Linked DNA regions of Saccharomyces cerevisiae S288C. The gene in region 1 interacts genetically with each later gene. Each region holds a gene or a part of one and is shown on either strand. Other genes may lie near its edges.

Evidence for each region.
Region 2: mutations in RTG2 (region 1) and GCR2 together harm fitness more than expected from each alone (negative genetic interaction), as found in Saccharomyces cerevisiae (3 studies listed by BioGRID).
Region 3: mutations in RTG2 (region 1) and SNF3 together harm fitness more than expected from each alone (negative genetic interaction), as found in Saccharomyces cerevisiae (3 studies listed by BioGRID, with this or other methods).
Region 4: mutations in RTG2 (region 1) and RTG1 together harm fitness less than expected from each alone (positive genetic interaction), as found in Saccharomyces cerevisiae (4 studies listed by BioGRID, with this or other methods).

What each region holds. Positions count from the first base shown.
Region 1 is NC_001139.9:25,007-29,933, forward strand, and holds RTG2 (Rtg2p), read right to left. Parts: upstream 2,479-4,927; coding exon 712-2,478; downstream 1-711. Other genes in the region: HXK2 (hexokinase 2), read left to right, coding at 1-389; HFM1 (DNA helicase), read right to left, coding at 2,915-4,927. UniProt on the Saccharomyces cerevisiae protein: Required for a novel path of interorganelle communication between mitochondria, peroxisomes and the nucleus, thereby maintaining a functional metabolic interaction between the tricarboxylic acid and glyoxylate cycles.
Region 2 is NC_001146.8:264,426-268,918, forward strand, and holds GCR2 (Gcr2p), read right to left. Parts: upstream 2,106-4,493; coding exon 501-2,105; downstream 1-500. Other genes in the region: NNR1 (NADHX epimerase), read right to left, coding at 1-28; mRNA-binding protein WHI3, read right to left, coding at 3,183-4,493. UniProt on the Saccharomyces cerevisiae protein: Transcriptional activator required for the expression of glycolytic genes. Enhances the CT box-dependent transcriptional activation of a RAP1-GCR1 complex. Required for GCR1 phosphorylation.
Region 3 is NC_001136.10:108,935-114,734, forward strand, and holds SNF3 (glucose sensor), read left to right. Parts: upstream 1-2,645; coding exon 2,646-5,300; downstream 5,301-5,800. Other genes in the region: SEC31 (Sec31p), read left to right, coding at 1-2,095; NUS1 (ditrans,polycis-polyprenyl diphosphate synthase), read left to right, coding at 5,738-5,800.
Region 4 is NC_001147.6:201,485-205,250, forward strand, and holds RTG1 (Rtg1p), read right to left. Parts: upstream 1,035-3,766; coding exon 501-1,034; downstream 1-500. Other genes in the region: histone deacetylase HST1, read right to left, coding at 1-395; bifunctional DRAP deaminase/tRNA pseudouridine synthase RIB2, read right to left, coding at 1,212-2,987; phosphoinositide 5-phosphatase INP54, read right to left, coding at 3,247-3,766. UniProt on the Saccharomyces cerevisiae protein: Required for a novel path of interorganelle communication between mitochondria, peroxisomes and the nucleus, thereby maintaining a functional metabolic interaction between the tricarboxylic acid and glyoxylate cycles.

The DNA.
Region 1 (4,927 bases):
TAGAAGATACCGATGACTTGTTCCAAAATGAGTTCGGTATCAACACTACTGTTCAAGAACGTAAATTGATCAGACGTTTATCTGAATTGATTGGTGCTAGAGCTGCTAGATTGTCCGTTTGTGGTATTGCTGCTATCTGTCAAAAGAGAGGTTACAAGACCGGTCACATCGCTGCAGACGGTTCCGTTTACAACAGATACCCAGGTTTCAAAGAAAAGGCTGCCAATGCTTTGAAGGACATTTACGGCTGGACTCAAACCTCACTAGACGACTACCCAATCAAGATTGTTCCTGCTGAAGATGGTTCCGGTGCTGGTGCCGCTGTTATTGCTGCTTTGGCCCAAAAAAGAATTGCTGAAGGTAAGTCCGTTGGTATCATCGGTGCTTAAACTTAATTTGTAAATTAAGTTTGAACAACAAGAAGGTGCCCTTTTTCTACTTATGTGAACATGTTTTCTATGATCTTTTTTTTTCTTACTTTTACAACTGTGATATTGTATAAACTTTGTTAGAAATTCACGGGATTTATTCGTGACGATAAATATTTATATAGACAAAGAATATGACGATTTATGAAATCTACATGATTTTAGTTTCTTTTAACAATTGCTCGTTTTTTTCTCTTGCTTAATTTTAAATTTTTTTGGTAGTAAAAGATGCTTATATAAGGATTTCGTATTTATTGTTCAAGTATTTAAAGACTAGATGTCTTTATTCTTCATAAAATTGCACGCCAATTTTAACCCTCTCTACACTTCCTCTAGATAGCTTGCGTACTTTCTTTTGTAGCGTGATAATTCTGGAACGAACGGAAGCACTTGTTTTAAGATCGTCCTTACTAATTCTCACAACCACTTCATACCCGCGATTTTTACGCGTGGATTCTTCTTTTACCTTTGTAGTGTTTGCATCATCAATGATTAATTCTTTTAAACTGGTCTCCACCTCACTACGCTTAGAAACATGGAAATCAAATACGTTATCTCTGATATTACCACCTGGATGAACACCGCAAATCACATACATAATCGTACCAATATACTTCGTCCACCATACAATTCTCAATGCTTCAGCTTTATCACCTTCGCGTAGAACTACTTGTTCTAATTCTTGGGAGTATTTTTCTTCAGATTCCGGAATGTTGCCGCCCCATCTACTACATAGAGCAATTCCTATCAGCGCTCTAGCTCTGTGAGATAATCCATGACAGCCGGCTATTATCCCTCTTGTAGCAACATGTAATGCAGCTGTTGGTTGTAACTCCTTTGGATAAGAGGCATGAACAAATGCTAAGTTACATAAAGCAGGAGCAATCCTTTCGTTTACTATTTCTGGTATATCTTCTTGTGGGATTGATGTTCTCAATAGATATAGATATTTTTCAGTAAGTAATGGAGCATAAGGACGGGACGCAATTAGCAATGGATCTTGTGCACGAATTTCTTTTGGAAGAAGAGAATAAAGTGAACCCTCTCGAACACCACCCTCACTAAAATGTACAGCTTTGATCTGGGGAATCGCTTCAAAAACAGCACTCATGAACAAACCAACGGCAGGAAGTTGTAAAGCCCTTCTATCAGAAACCTTAAATATTTTATGCTCTTTTGAAGAACCTGGTATTTTTTGTTTTAGGAATAGATAATCTGACATAGACGAGAATTCTTCATAAGTGCAAGCATATCCGTTAATTATTGTTTGGATGGGATAACCTTCCGACTGGTAAAGAAGCAGATGTCCCATACCTCTTAAACCACCCCCACGGGTCCAAAGGTCAAATCCACCTTCTTTCTTGGCGTCATCAATCATTTCTTGAGGTATACCAATTTTTTCAATCGCATCTTTGTACGCTTCTTTAATCTCATAAAAAAGTGCCCTATTATCATCTGTTCTCATTCTTCTCAAAAGAGTTCCAGCTCCATATGGCAAAGATACAGGTTTGCTGGATTGCTTGACTTCTCCGTGCGAGCTTATTACCCATGATAACTGAGTACTACCACCTGCCACATCTAGATATAGACCTCTTACTGTATTAAATGAGGAAACAACACCATATATGCCGACCCTAGTTTCATCTTCCTGGCCTAATATTTCTACTTTCCAGCCAGTGCTACCGTAAACAGCATTAACAAATTCATCCGCGTTAATAGCATCTCGCGTGGCTTCTGTTGCAATTACTCTGACACTAGTTTCAGGTACACCAAAATCATCGCAAATTAATTTGAATCTCTTCATGGCAGAACAAACCTCTTTTATAATATCTCTGGGAATAGGGCATTTTGCGTTCGTATGTGTATTATATTGAACTTCGTATAGAGAAAGACCAACCCTATCTTTAAAAACACAAGGCATAATTCTTGCATGATGTGCAGCCTTGGAAGATATACTAAAACGAATACCATTAGAACCTATGTCGACGATTCCACACAAGTTTCTCGACACGACCTCAGTCTCGGTATCACTATCGCTAAGTGTTGACATTTGTGGCACGCCTACACTTTTCGTTCAAAACAATCCTTAGTAAAGGACACTTCCAAGAGTGAGTTTCTTTTTTAAAAGGTACATATGAATGAATTACTAATCTCACTTCGATTCTTTCAATTGATCTAGGAACTCCGCCGGCAAAGTTATCCTATCTCGGCATTCTGACCCGGATCGCTTATCGCGGTCATGTGACTAATAATTGAAATGATAAATAGCACGATATGTAACAATAGTAATATATCAATTGACAATGTCATCTTGTTCCCTAATAAATAGTAAAGGTTCCAATTGTTTCACCACTGGCTGCATTTTAAAAACAAAGCATTATAAGTAAACTCTCACACATGCTAACTTCTGTTGGGAAGCAATACAAATAACAGAAAGGATTGGGGTAATGAATATCAGTAATGTCTATTGTTCCCGGCCATGCCGCTCATTCAAACTCTATATCGGAACCCAAGAAATCCAGATCACCATTCGGATCACTTATTGAGCTCGCCGCTGTATTACTAGAATAACTATCGGATGATTCAAGATCAATAGGAATTATTTCAGGGCAGTTTTCGGGGCCTGATTTTAGGACTTGTTCACCCGCTTCCATAGACGACATCTGTTGCGATAGATTATAAATTTTTGAAGGAAGTGTATGAACTGTCGCAATATCTGTATTTTCTTCTTGCCACTGCTTTGGTTTACTATTCAGTCTTTTTTCCAGGTGAGGGGTTGTGTTGATATTTTTTGCAAGCAGTGGCTGGCGTATTTGATCAGGTTTTGATACTGGCTTGATTGAGGAGGGTCCTTTTTCTTTTATATACTTTACTGGAATACCCTCTTTACAACATAAATGTCTGCATTGCGTTTTGTCTTTGCAGCTATGAAAACACTCGTAATTGCCATTAGATCTTACTTGGCGGCCATTACTAAAATGTGAAGAAGAGTGTGCCTCCGGGTGAATAACTGCTGCAGATTCAACCGCCTTTGATGATTTCTTCCTTTCATTCAAATAATCTAGTATACTATCATCTGAGGATAGCGATTCTTCTAATCCATCTTTATGGGAAACCCTAGACGTTTTCCCCACTTCTCCGTCACTACTGCTTTCATAGAAGAGGCATTTTTCTAAACTATTTAGATCTTTCCTTATATTTGGTGTCTTCGCAGAGAACTGTGATGCCAAATGATCAGTGGAATATACGATTGTTTTGCCGAGTCCGGCGATTTCTTGGCAATGAATTGAGAATTCTATTTTTTCTAGTTTTGGTGATATTTTTGCTGAAATTCTAAAGCCCCTTGGTGACTGTAGTTTGTTAACTTGCAATCTTCTAAAGTCGATTAACTCTCCTGAGCTTTTCTCGGTTTCGATATCTAATGAGAGGTGCTGACCATGCCAAATGCTAGACTTGAATGTTGCACTAATCTCAACTTTAAATGTCAACCACAACTCTTCATTTTCTATTTTGCAATTTTCTAGTTTTGTTCTAATATTCAGACAAGGCAACAAAGAAATGTCGTTTTTAATTTTTATGCCGTTTCCAATCTTGAGGTTAAGATAGTATTCAATCTGAGTATCTGACAAATGCCCCATTTCTTCTAGATTGGTAATTCCATGTCGTATTAGCCTTCTTACTGAAACTAGTCCAATTGTTTTCAATTGCCTAAGAACCATTGGCGTGTTTTCCCAGCAGTGACCATTCAGGCTTCGCAGTAAGAACAAAGTATTTTTCAGTGATGTTCCATCACTTTTTTCAATAAATGTGTCTACCATGCATTTTAGTAATCTAAAACAATGTCTAAAAACGAGGAATTTATCCTGAACAAGAGTTTGATGTAGTTTAGAAGCGCCTTCGTATGATGGAAATTCTAACCCACCTAACTCATATTGAATCAAAAGAGAAACCTTTTGACTAACCCTGTCAATTATTTGGCTCTGTTTCTTCTCGGTTAAAAATGGATATTTCAAAAGTGGCGATAAATTGATTTCTTTGAACAATTTTTTTTCATTGTGCCTCACCCTCATAACTGAAAACTCTTCAGAAGTGGCCAGTAAATTTAGTATCCCTTGTAATGATAGAAATTTTTTTGCGTTAATGAATTGTTTCATCGACTCAAAGGATATATAATGTCGCGTCATTGCATTTCCGTACGCTGTAGATTTGTACTCCCCATTGCTGATATCGATTATTTTCACTTTTACTAAGGTGTCAAGCAAATACTGACAGAATTGATTTATCTGAGAGTCTTCAACGGAATGAAAACTAACGTATCTGTTCACCTCTTGATATGCAGCTGGATTCTTCCCAAATCTAACGTAAAAGAATGTGTTTCGTAGCCAATTTACTGCAGTTTCAATTGAATATACAGTTTCCAAAGAGGTTTCTGCTGCTAAATGCTCGATCAAATTCAAATGTAATGAACTTTCCAAAACGTCAGTTCCATGAATTAAGTT
Region 2 (4,493 bases), on another chromosome or scaffold:
TTGATGAAACAACTTTCAACGTAGACATTTTTACCTTACAATGATTTCTCTTTAATACCTGAGATTGGTGTGTTGAAATGAAAATATGTGTTGGCCCAGCAACAGACAATAATATAAGCAAGGATCCTGGTCGTTTGATATTCTTCTTGAGTTTTTTTCTTATATATGAACGTATGTGTATATATTCACCATCCCTATTGTCTCCACCCCTTGTTCGCTCGTAGCGACGGAAACAATCAAATAAGAGGACCCACGGTAAAAGTAGCGTAAATTTTACGGTTCTGCTGCAAAATAAAGAAACCCATTTTGTATCCTTTACATCAGGAATAACGTAAAAAGAATTATCATTAGTTCGTAGTTATATAATAACGTCTGTTCATTATAAAAGAGTACAAGAAACAGTAAGATAGTAAACGTCACTGTTAAATAGTTAATTATACCGCCAATCTACACCAGAAAATTAAAAGAGAAAGCAATATATGTTAAACATTATTATCGTGTCATCTTTGTAAATCCCTTAACATACTTCTAACACAACCCATGTCTTCAATTAACATTTTCCTTAACCACTGCGTCTCTTGGCGCTGTAATTCCAATTCTCTTTCTAATTGCACAATTCTTTGGCCTTTTTCAGAAATGATTGCGTCATAAGCTTCTTTCAATGGGCGTATCACGGCTTCTGTATCTATAGGTCCCATGCTGTTTGAAGGATTTAAATCAACTTTCATTTGGGTGTTATTCGCGTTTAAATTAGTGTCCGGACCATCATTTATTAACGCACCCTCTGCTGCAGTTGTCATCGGCCTCTGCCTCTTACTCGTATTTGTCAGTTGCAAAAGTTCTTCCACCGCTTCGTCATCCAGCGTATTAACATCTAACGATCCCAGTGACCTTCGTTTCCACGAATGGGATCCATTATTGGACATTGTATTATAGCCCATGGTATTACTGGAAGCATTGGGGTTCAGATCTGCATGACTCAAACCAAATTCAAATCCTCCTGAGCCAGGACTGGTTGGCTGTGTATAATATCCTGTCAACGAACGAGAATTGACATCTTGTGATAGCGTTTGCAGTCGTTTTTGTAACTGTTGAGACAATGATGGATCAAAAAGCATATTGGTACCTGGGTTGCTTATTGTTGTATTACTGAATGCACTCGTATCTGTAATGCCGTTTCTCTCTTTATTACTATTTTTATTGTTTTTCCCATTTTTAGCATTTTTAGCCACCCTGGTGCCTCTTTTTTTCGTTCGGTTGTTTGGCATGTTTTTATTTCCATAGTTCTTAATATTACTCCCATTTCCAATATTACCATTGTTCCCATTATTGTTCCCGTTGTTTATTCCCTGTAAATCTGATGGGGAGCCTTTAGTTGATGTATTTAAGGAGTTTCCCTTCCTGCGTCCTTGAGTTAGAATTTGGCCGGTCTGAGGATCGAATACTGTAAATATGCTCATTGAGACTAATCGCCACAATTCATCGTTTTCTAATTCTGAGTCTGTCTTTATTTGCCAAAGCCTTCCATCCAACCGGCGGAAGTATTTTGCGTAAGGACTTGCGTCAAAACTCAGCTCTAGTTCCTTAATCATCTGTTGAAATCTTTGATATAGTTCGATTGCCGATTTTGGTGATGTTGATCTATCGTCAATTGACCCAGATGATAGTGTAGCGTTATATAGTTTTGATATTTTGGCGAAAAGTTGAGAATATTGCGCTTGCGTATATATTCCATTTGAGGTGGCACTAGAGCTCGCATTATTACCAGTAGTGGCAGGATTGCTTGCATTGCTAATGGCTGAGGTAGAACTTGAATTACCATTCGGCGTACCATTAGCGCTATCTGAGTTGGTTTTCGTCAGAGCATTACTACCAGTGCTAGTTATAATCTCATCGATGTTAGGTGTGCTATCAGACCCCATCAACCCTGTTGGATTAGCTATCCCTGTTCCAACCGCCCCGTTAACCATACCTGAGGGCGTGTTCGTTGTCGTCTGTGGCGAGTTTGTAACACTCTGCAAGGAAGCACCACTAATGACAGACTCGTTAGACAGTAAATTATAAGCTCTGATTATGAATACATCTAACTTAGTTTGGTGATGCATTATGTGAGTGTAACTTTTCGTCAAATACTCTTTGTGTTCTCAGGTTCCTTTTTGGTTTCTTGGTTGTTTTCCCATTCAGTCTAGGCGTAAGAATGTGAAGAAAGTCAAATACAGACCGCAAGCACCTTATGGATGCGTTAATGATTATTATGTCTAACGGACAACTATCGCAGAAGTCGCGGTACTTGAAGGAGAAAAGTCGTGAAAATTTTATTTTGGACAAATTGTCCAAGAAAAATAAGAAATATGACGTTATTACCCGTATTGAGATTCCATTGAAAGACATTCATAAAATTGATCAGTTCGGTCATAAACAAAGTAGAACTTCGAAATATCAAATATGTTCTTGCCACTGGTAGCCCATATTTTTTTAATCTGCTCTTGTAGCATAGGGTTGAAAATATTACATTGAAGTCGATACCGATATATACTTCTATAAAAATGAGTTCTGGAATAAAAGTAAGGCTAATACATATATATAGTGGGAGAATATCCAAAGGCAGAGTTTTTTAAACAAGGAAAGAATAAAAGTTGGCAGCATAAAAAAAAGATATTCTCTCTTCAAAACATTTGTCGGATATGACCTCACCTAAGCACTTGGTGCTTTGATGACAATAATCACACTAAAGAGCGATATTCGATAGTGAGACTTTTCCCTCTCAATCTTATTCACATTAGCGCAAGCAAAATGGAATGAATGGCACATTAAAATTGAAAATAAAAGTTCTTGTTGTTGCAGAAGCGGTATAGGAGTTCGCAAAATGGTAGTTAAGAAAAAAGATGGCGGGTTTAATTCATAGTACAATTCAAATGTTAGACAGAAAAAGAAAAAATTTCTGTTATATGCACGTTGTAATGTAATAGTAAAAAGATAATTTAACGTAATTGAAGAGATAAAGTATTATCGATGTTATTCTTATTATTAGTCGGTTTAGAAAATATTATTATAACAAATAATAAAAGAAAAAGAAAAAATGCGACAGAAAATATTATTCTTATTATAGTGGGGGAAAGATGAAAAGCAATGCATATAATGTGATACATGCAAGGAAATCAGGTTTTTGCGGAACCATTTTTTTAGTTTTTTATATGACCAACATTAGAATTGTAACTGGAAAGCATATTTACATTAGGATTTGGGTTACCACTGCCTCCTCTTCTGCTGTTTGGGCCCCTAACACCCAGTGGGTTTTTTGAAAAGCTTAATCTGATACCTCCCTTACTGCTCACAGTGGAGCGAGGTAACTGTCTACCATACAATTCAGCTAACGCTCTGGTTGCAAAACTGACATCATCGAATTCAACGAAGCACATCGGTCCGTGACTATGACCATTAGATGTGGTATTCTTATTCCTGAATGATAGTCTTCTGAAGCCTTCTTGACCAGAAAATAGCTGTCTTAGTTCTTGCTCAGTAGCGTCGGAGGGTAAATTCCCTACATAAAGGGTATTACAAGGTGGATTTTGATCAGCAGGGTTGGCAGGAGGTGGAATTCTGGCTAGTAGTGACAAATCAGCCTGAGAAATCGAGGCAGATCCAGTAATATTTGAGGATAATGAGGTAGTAGAGTTATTCTTGTGTGAATTTCTACTTGAACTTAATCTTGCGGGCGGTACTTTTTGAGGAGTGTTACTTTGATTCACAGGATACATATGCTCTGGTTGGGGTTGTTGCATAAATCTGTTCTGTTTTTGAGGTGTAATGTTCATATCAGAGGTGTTTACCATATTTGAAATGTGCTGCGATTGAGAAGACATTAAACCGTATGGAGGCAATGAATTTGAAGAGGTTAGGGAAGTGTTAATCGTGTTACCAATTTGCATCATTGGTTGTTGCGAGCTGGCAGAGAGTGCCTGGTTAGCACCATTATTGCTGGCTCCATTGTTGGAGCTGGCGTTTGCATTGGCACTGGTGTTGCTATTCGTAGGTGCAATGGCTGTCGATGCTGCAGAGGGTAAAAAGAACGAAGAACCATGTTGGGATGCAGAAGTATTTCCCCATTCTAAAGTTGGCGTAGAAGGTTGGGGAGTGCTCATGTAACCGTTGATGCTGGAAGGTATACCGCTTGTGCCCCATATCTTTTCATTAATTTCAGTGTTATCTCTCAAAAGGAAAGATTTGCCAATATCAGATGTTTGAATTGTTGATTCCACAGACAAATCTTGATGTGAATGGTTAGAATGTAACCCAATAACCTGGCCTTGAGAAGATAACGGTATTGAAGAATTCACTTGTTGTTGATTACATTGTTGTGGTGAATGTTTTTGCGTAGAGTGTTGTTGTGGCTGTTGTGGCTGTTGCTGCTGCTGTTGAGATTGCTGTTGGCTTAAAGGAGAATCATTGGAAAATGGATCGCTGAATGAAAACCTGGATCTTTGTGATAACAG
Region 3 (5,800 bases), on another chromosome or scaffold:
TTCTAAGAGGGAAGTAGATGATTTGGTTGAAAATTTGGATGTCTCTCAGTGGAAGTTTATCTCTAAAGCAATTCAAAACTTATATCCAAATGATATCGCCCAGAGGAATGAAATGTTGATTAAATTGGGAGACAGGTTAAAGGAAAATGGTCATAGACAAGATTCTTTGACTTTGTACTTGGCTGCCGGATCATTAGATAAGGTGGCTTCAATTTGGTTATCAGAATTTCCAGATTTGGAGGATAAATTGAAGAAAGATAATAAGACAATTTATGAAGCTCATTCCGAATGTCTAACTGAGTTCATTGAAAGATTCACCGTATTTTCCAACTTCATTAATGGAAGCTCTACCATTAATAATGAGCAATTAATTGCCAAATTTTTGGAATTTATCAACTTAACTACTTCCACAGGAAATTTCGAACTAGCCACTGAATTCTTAAATAGTTTACCAAGTGACAATGAAGAGGTTAAAACAGAAAAGGCACGTGTCTTGATTGCTTCCGGCAAATCATTACCGGCACAAAATCCTGCGACAGCGACGACCAGCAAAGCCAAGTATACAAACGCCAAGACAAATAAGAACGTTCCTGTACTACCAACTCCTGGAATGCCTTCTACTACTTCTATTCCTAGTATGCAGGCACCATTTTATGGTATGACACCAGGCGCCTCTGCAAATGCTCTACCTCCAAAGCCGTACGTTCCAGCAACCACCACTAGTGCTCCTGTTCATACAGAAGGTAAATATGCGCCACCAAGCCAACCTTCGATGGCGTCACCTTTTGTTAACAAAACAAATAGCTCGACCAGATTGAATTCTTTTGCTCCTCCGCCTAACCCATATGCCACTGCAACAGTTCCTGCAACGAACGTATCTACAACGTCGATTCCGCAAAACACTTTTGCTCCTATACAACCTGGTATGCCTATTATGGGCGACTATAATGCTCAATCTAGCTCTATTCCTTCACAACCTCCAATTAATGCTGTATCGGGTCAAACGCCACATCTCAACCGTAAAGCCAATGATGGTTGGAATGATTTGCCTTTGAAGGTCAAAGAAAAACCATCTCGTGCCAAGGCTGTATCTGTTGCCCCTCCAAATATCCTATCGACACCAACTCCATTAAATGGTATCCCTGCAAATGCTGCTAGTACCATGCCTCCGCCACCTCTTTCCAGAGCTCCCTCTTCTGTGTCAATGGTATCACCACCTCCTCTACACAAAAATTCTAGAGTCCCATCCTTGGTTGCAACTTCTGAGTCACCAAGGGCATCCATATCAAATCCATACGCTCCTCCTCAATCATCACAACAATTCCCAATAGGTACTATTTCTACAGCAAACCAAACGTCAAACACCGCTCAGGTAGCTTCATCGAACCCCTATGCTCCACCACCACAACAAAGAGTAGCAACCCCATTATCTGGAGGCGTGCCTCCAGCTCCGTTGCCAAAGGCCTCTAATCCATATGCTCCAACTGCAACCACTCAACCCAACGGTTCCTCCTATCCTCCAACCGGTCCGTATACTAATAACCATACCATGACCTCTCCTCCTCCCGTTTTTAACAAACCTCCCACTGGCCCCCCTCCGATTAGCATGAAGAAGAGAAGCAACAAGTTAGCTAGTATAGAACAAAACCCATCTCAAGGTGCTACTTATCCTCCAACCCTTTCCAGCTCGGCCTCTCCATTGCAGCCTTCTCAACCGCCAACTTTGGCTTCTCAGGTTAATACCTCCGCTGAGAATGTCAGTCATGAAATTCCAGCTGATCAACAACCCATTGTCGACTTCTTGAAAGAAGAACTGGCTCGCGTAACACCATTGACCCCAAAGGAGTACTCCAAACAATTAAAGGATTGTGATAAACGATTAAAGATTCTTTTCTACCATTTGGAAAAGCAGGATTTATTAACCCAACCAACAATCGATTGTTTACATGACCTCGTCGCATTAATGAAGGAAAAGAAATACAAAGAAGCTATGGTCATCCATGCTAATATCGCTACAAACCATGCTCAAGAGGGTGGTAACTGGCTGACAGGAGTGAAGAGGTTGATTGGCATAGCTGAAGCGACTTTGAATTAATTCAGTCTCAAAACTTTCAGTACAAAAAGTGGCGTATTGGCCTTGTTTTTTTCTTATTATGTCTTATAGTATTATATTTATATATTTATGTACTTATCCTTTTATGTTTAAACCTAATCAAGATCACAATTAGAACTAGCTTAACATTACTTCTCAAAACCAACCAATACCTCTTATATCTTTTTTACAGCCTTTCCCTTATGTTTTTACCATGTACACCTCGAGCGGCAAATCTCCGGGGAAATTTTAAACTTGCCGCATCGCACATTCTAAAGAACAAAAGGAGGAGGAACTGTCAATTATTCTATAATCTGGGGAAATTCAGTCATACTGAGAAAAACTAGACAATAGTCCTATCCTCGGCAAATTGCATTGATAGTACTTACACATCGAGAGATCATAGGACAGATAAGAAGCATTTTATTGAAGAAAAACAGAGAGAGTCACTATAAGTTGACCTCACTATAGAAATTAAAACAGAAAAGTTTTACTGAGGACCTTTTTAAACAGAAGGATATGCCTTTGTTGGCATAGAAAGAAGAATTTATAAATGGATCCTAATAGTAACAGTTCTAGCGAAACATTACGCCAAGAGAAACAGGGTTTCCTAGACAAAGCTCTTCAGAGGGTGAAGGGCATAGCACTGCGACGAAACAATAGTAACAAAGATCATACAACAGATGATACGACAGGTAGCATACGAACCCCTACGAGCTTGCAGCGGCAAAATTCTGACAGGCAATCTAATATGACATCCGTGTTTACGGATGACATTTCTACCATAGACGACAACTCAATTTTATTTTCAGAGCCTCCTCAGAAACAATCTATGATGATGTCTATATGCGTAGGTGTTTTTGTTGCAGTTGGCGGATTTTTATTTGGTTATGATACAGGTCTGATCAACAGTATTACATCTATGAACTATGTGAAGTCACACGTAGCACCTAATCACGATTCATTTACCGCCCAACAAATGTCCATTTTGGTGTCATTTTTGTCATTGGGAACTTTTTTTGGGGCTTTAACTGCACCATTTATATCTGATTCGTATGGCAGGAAGCCTACTATCATTTTCAGTACAATTTTCATCTTCTCTATCGGAAATTCTTTACAGGTAGGTGCTGGAGGAATCACATTATTGATTGTGGGAAGGGTCATTTCAGGTATCGGTATAGGCGCAATTTCAGCGGTTGTTCCATTATACCAAGCAGAAGCTACACATAAATCATTAAGAGGTGCTATTATTTCTACTTACCAATGGGCCATTACCTGGGGCTTGCTCGTGTCAAGTGCAGTGTCGCAAGGGACACACGCAAGAAACGACGCATCTTCGTATCGGATTCCCATAGGGTTGCAATATGTCTGGTCGTCATTTCTCGCTATCGGGATGTTCTTTCTCCCTGAGAGTCCACGCTATTACGTTTTGAAAGACAAGCTAGATGAAGCAGCTAAATCTTTATCGTTTTTAAGAGGTGTACCAGTCCATGATTCTGGGTTACTGGAAGAACTAGTTGAAATAAAGGCAACATATGATTACGAGGCATCTTTTGGTTCTTCGAACTTCATTGATTGTTTTATTTCAAGTAAAAGTAGACCAAAGCAAACTCTAAGGATGTTTACGGGAATTGCCCTTCAAGCATTTCAACAATTTTCAGGTATCAACTTTATATTTTACTACGGTGTCAATTTCTTCAATAAGACAGGAGTCAGTAATAGTTATCTGGTTTCATTTATAACCTATGCTGTTAATGTTGTCTTTAATGTTCCTGGTTTGTTTTTTGTGGAATTTTTTGGTAGACGTAAGGTGCTGGTTGTTGGGGGTGTTATCATGACTATAGCCAACTTTATTGTGGCCATTGTTGGGTGTTCCTTAAAGACTGTAGCGGCCGCAAAAGTTATGATAGCATTTATATGTCTATTCATAGCTGCCTTTTCTGCTACATGGGGTGGTGTTGTTTGGGTTATTTCAGCAGAACTGTACCCATTGGGTGTGAGATCTAAATGTACGGCTATATGCGCTGCTGCTAACTGGCTTGTAAACTTTATTTGTGCTTTAATTACCCCTTATATTGTAGATACTGGGTCGCATACATCATCATTAGGTGCAAAAATATTCTTCATTTGGGGCTCCTTAAATGCGATGGGGGTGATAGTTGTTTACTTGACCGTTTATGAAACGAAGGGTTTGACATTAGAAGAGATTGATGAATTATATATTAAGTCATCCACTGGTGTCGTGTCACCAAAATTTAATAAAGATATTAGGGAACGCGCACTTAAATTCCAATACGATCCTTTGCAAAGATTAGAAGACGGAAAGAACACTTTTGTTGCTAAAAGAAATAATTTTGACGATGAAACACCAAGAAATGATTTTCGAAATACGATATCGGGCGAAATAGATCATAGTCCCAATCAAAAAGAAGTTCATTCTATCCCAGAACGTGTTGATATTCCTACTAGTACAGAAATTCTTGAAAGCCCGAACAAAAGTAGTGGTATGACAGTCCCTGTGTCACCTTCTCTGCAAGACGTTCCAATCCCGCAAACAACAGAGCCTGCTGAAATTCGAACCAAATATGTGGACCTAGGAAATGGGCTTGGTCTTAATACGTATAATAGAGGGCCTCCCTCACTCTCAAGCGACTCAAGCGAAGATTACACAGAAGATGAAATAGGCGGGCCCTCATCTCAAGGCGACCAAAGTAATAGAAGTACTATGAATGATATTAATGATTATATGGCACGTCTCATTCACAGTACTTCTACTGCAAGTAACACGACAGATAAGTTCTCCGGTAACCAAAGTACCCTTCGTTACCACACGGCTTCCTCACATTCGGATACAACTGAAGAGGACAGCAATTTGATGGACCTGGGAAACGGGCTTGCCTTGAATGCTTATAACAGAGGTCCACCTTCAATTTTAATGAATTCCAGTGATGAAGAGGCAAATGGTGGTGAGACGTCTGATAATTTGAACACAGCTCAAGACTTGGCTGGTATGAAGGAACGAATGGCGCAGTTTGCGCAGAGCTATATTGACAAGAGAGGCGGTCTGGAACCTGAAACTCAATCTAATATTTTGAGCACTTCTCTCTCCGTGATGGCTGACACTAATGAACATAATAATGAAATCCTCCACTCAAGCGAAGAAAACGCCACTAATCAACCTGTAAATGAAAATAATGATTTGAAATAATTAATTTAATGTTATTCGATGTATTAATTAAGCGGACGTGCATTATAATTTTAATCATGTGAAAGAAATAATTGTAACTTGAGATACTACTCAACTTTTATAGATACACAATGTTTATCTTGACACACATTCAATTACATTACTTGATTTAATGCCTTTCCAAAATTATGATCTTTTCTTCTATAACACTTTTGGATACTTAGCCGCCGACGGATACCATCTTCGGTCAACGTCGGAAGTCATTATAAACGAAAAGGTTTCCCAATAGAAAAGTCCTGCAGGAGCCACGTATAACACTGGCTTGAATTATCAACAACTCTCGAAGGCGCTGGAAGAGAATTTTTACGCAAGTTAGTATTCGCATAACATTAGTTGGCAAATTACACAATTTTTTGATACAATATATATACATATATTTTCCCCATTGTTTTTCTTAGATGCCCACGATGATCAAAAAGGATGATAAAGCAATGGAGCCCCCTAATGAAAAACCGCATAGA
Region 4 (3,766 bases), on another chromosome or scaffold:
GAAGTGATATTAGAGTTTAACGCCATAAATAGTTCTTTATCTTTGACGTCGAATCCCAGCAATTTTATCATGAAATAAATGTAGATCGAGTTGACTTCCACTGGCAAAAAATATTCTAAAAAAGTTTTCAAATCGTTGTCCTTCAAAAACAGTCTTGCATTCATAACATCATCTTTAGTGATTGCAGGAAAGATGAATTTGCCCGTCACCTTATCCTTCCCGAGGATACAAGGGTACGTTAATCTCGTTTTCAGCTTCTTCGTAGCATTATTATCTGACTCTTCTTCTTGAGGTCTTTTCAACATTGTCATGGTCAGCTCTCCAACATGAAAGTATCGCCCTTGACTAACCACCAAAATAAAACTAACTATCCGTTGCATTAGCAATATGTTCATTTAGATTTTTTTTTCTCACAAAAACAACAAAAAAGAAGAGAAGTGTTCGTATCACTACCAACGAGGGTTATCACAACATAGCAATAGTGAGAGTCAGAAGTACTTTTAGCTACCATTACCGTACTCACCATACCCTCCGTACTCGAAGGAGCTCAACCTCTTTGCTGGCGGTCTTACTGAGTCATCATTTGTTGCGGCCAGCGGTCCCACGCCAATCCTGGACAGGGCGACTTCAGCGCTGGTGTTCTCTAAGTTTATATCGTTGACAATGGTGCCTGTCTGCTTGGCCAACTGAGTGGCCTTCACCATCAGTTCCACCTCCTCTCTGTTCTGTGTGTCCACTTGATTTTGTAGATGTGATATGTACTCTACCGCCTGTGTGAGAATTTGGCCCTTGTTGGGCTTTCCGTCCTTGGTCCCTGTACCTTTGGCCTTGCTGGACAACCCAAGCGCACCGGGAGTGGATTCACTTAACGTGTCATTGCTACCAGAATTGCCGTAATAATCTCTAAAGAAGTCTTTGGGAATGATACTCAATAGTTCTTGAATACGGTCGTTGATCTTATCTCTGCGCTTGCGGTCATTCTTGAAATTAGCACCGCAGGACCCAGGATCAGTGCCAGCTGGAATGCTGCTCATGTTTGGTGTTGTGCTTTCTTTTGGTTCACTATCTAGTGTTTTTTGTCTGTGTTGTGGTTGAAGTTAATTCCATTCTTTTTACTCAAAATTTTCGGTGGCGCCTTTTTCCGTTTCCAGTAATGAGTGGTTATTGTAGATATGATGTAAGATTACATGATAATATATATGCTAAATAGTCTAAGCTTTGTCGTCACTATTATCGTGGCCTTTGAAGGCAATGATGGTGCACTCCTCCTCGTAGCCTGGTATTTGTATGTAGTTCACACCGTGCGATTCCAGCTTGTTCAAACTTGTATTGTTTTTAACAAATGTATCGGGCTCCATAACCCCCACGAAGACAGTACCAATGGCACCTTGGGTGGCCAGGATTCTATCGCAGCAAGGCTCATTGCCACTTAGCCTGAAGGAACAGGGTTCCATGGTTGTATAGAGCACTGTTCCCATAGGGACTATAGTGGGACAGTTCGGGTGTAACTGCGAGTACTTTATCAAAGCACACTGTTCTGCATGAGTGTTTCCTGGTAGCTCTCTTGAATATCCTGTGGCAAGTACTTGAGTTCCATGAACAAGAACGGCACCAACACTAAAAGCAGTCTTTGTCGGGCCACACTTACCAGCTTCCTTAACGGCCATTTCCATATATCGGCGATGTGGCTCTAAGGCCCATTCAGGGTATTTTGTTCTATAACTCCAGAGAGGTTTTTGCGTATCCGAATTTCTTTCCAATGACTCGTACCGGAAGGCATGCAGCCAGAGGTCGAGATCATTAGTACCGGGATCTGTGTACATTTCAGCCTCGCATTCTTCGCACTGACGGCCAAGCAAGTATTCACCCTCGCTATGAGGATGAATCCAGCTCTCTGCAGGATTAGTCTTGCCAATAGCGTCTAGTTTCAGAACGATGTCATCATAGTTTTGAAGTCCACCGCGGCCCAAATCTGGACCCCAGATATCTGGGTTCGAGTATATAGGGTCATTTGCTATGGGAAATCCCAAGTACTGCAAATGGACTCTTATTTGGTGAGTTCTACCTGTCAATGGTTTACACTTTACAATACTCGTCTGTCCATCATAGCTAACCCTTTGGAAAACGGTCTTGGCATGTTTAGCGTTTTCATCGCTCATCTCGCAAACAGCGTTTAGTGCAACTTTAGGGTTAACAGATCTGACAGGCTTATCTACCTCTACTATACCTATAGGGAACTCGCCCTTCACGCGGGCTACGTATTCTTTGGTGACTTCCCTCGCTTTCATTTGGTCTCCCATTCTATCTGCACCTAATGGAGTCTTGGCTAAAAACATTAGTCCACTAGTTGGCTTGTCTAGTCTATTACATGGATGTACTGAATAACCTAGCTGTCTTTCTAGCATTTTTGTAATGGTATTGAATCTGTATCTGCCCGTTGGGTGCACTGGAATACTGCTGGGTTTATCAATGACAAGGATATCTTCGTCTTCAAACACAATATCTATTGGTTTAGATGTGACTGGCGGTTCATGTCGATGTACTTTATGTGTGATCAGATCACCGTCACGAATGATGGTATCAAGGTTTGCAGGTTCATCGTTTAAGTATACTTTTCCCTCTGCAATGGTTTTGGAATAATAGCTGGGCTCTCGATCCCTGAATTCGCTCACGAATACATCCACCAACTTACGATCTCTCCACCTCTCCTTACAGAAAGTTTTATAAGTGAAAAAATAAGGCTCAATCTTCCTTAAGGGTCCATCAATTGTCACTTCATAATCAGGGTCTGTCTTTTTAGTTTTGTGCCCATCGGTTTGAATAACTCTCAGTCTGAATCCACTCGCATCTTTGACTTTGGAACTGTTTTCGTTCCTATTATTATTCCTGTTCGCGAATTTTCTTAACTTCACTTCCTTTGCAGACTCAATTTCTTTGTTTAATAAGTTGTTGAAGTCATCGCTGGCTTCATTATTAGAGTCCTCCATTTTGATTGGTTTGTTAATCTAATATTGATAGTTTTTTTTTTAATGTTCTTCTCTCTCTTCTTCCTGTTTTTTCATGGCAATAATTTTGACTAGTTTTTCTTTTTTTTTTTTTTTTTTCATTCTTTTTCATTATTACTTAAGTTCTGTAAAGATATATGGAAGAGAAAATAAAAAGAATAAAACCAAAGATAGTGGTACAACTGACGTTATCTGTTTCAGACATAAATGAAAAACTTCTAGCCTGACAGCCCAGATCACTTTACAGGATTTTTAATAGTAAATATAATAGTAAAGAACCTAATATCCAATAATGTACATTCTTAGTAACTAGCCAACCGCAGTACCCGATGACTGCGTCACCAATTTGTCCAATCAGGCCAGAGCTCCATGATAAAGGATACTTTTCGATATGTAAGGATAACGGCACTGGCGTCCCTGTAGACCTTGGTAATCTTACGGTAAGATTAACGGGTTGATGATCGCTAAATAATAGAGCATTGGACCTAGGGACGGAATGGTAAGTACCTTCTTGTGCGAAAGTTGGCACTGCATAGCTTTTGTAGAGAATCCTATCGCACCACGACGGGATTCTTTTTGTATTATATGTTTCCTTTTCAAACAACTTGAATTTGTATGTCGGTGGAAATGTTATCTTCAGCTCCTGAAAACCTTTGCATAACGGTTCATCCTCTCCTTTACGTAGCAGATTTAGTTCTTCATGATTTTCTAATAGACGCCTTAACGTTGTGGTGGACGAATAATTGGTAGTTGGATCATAA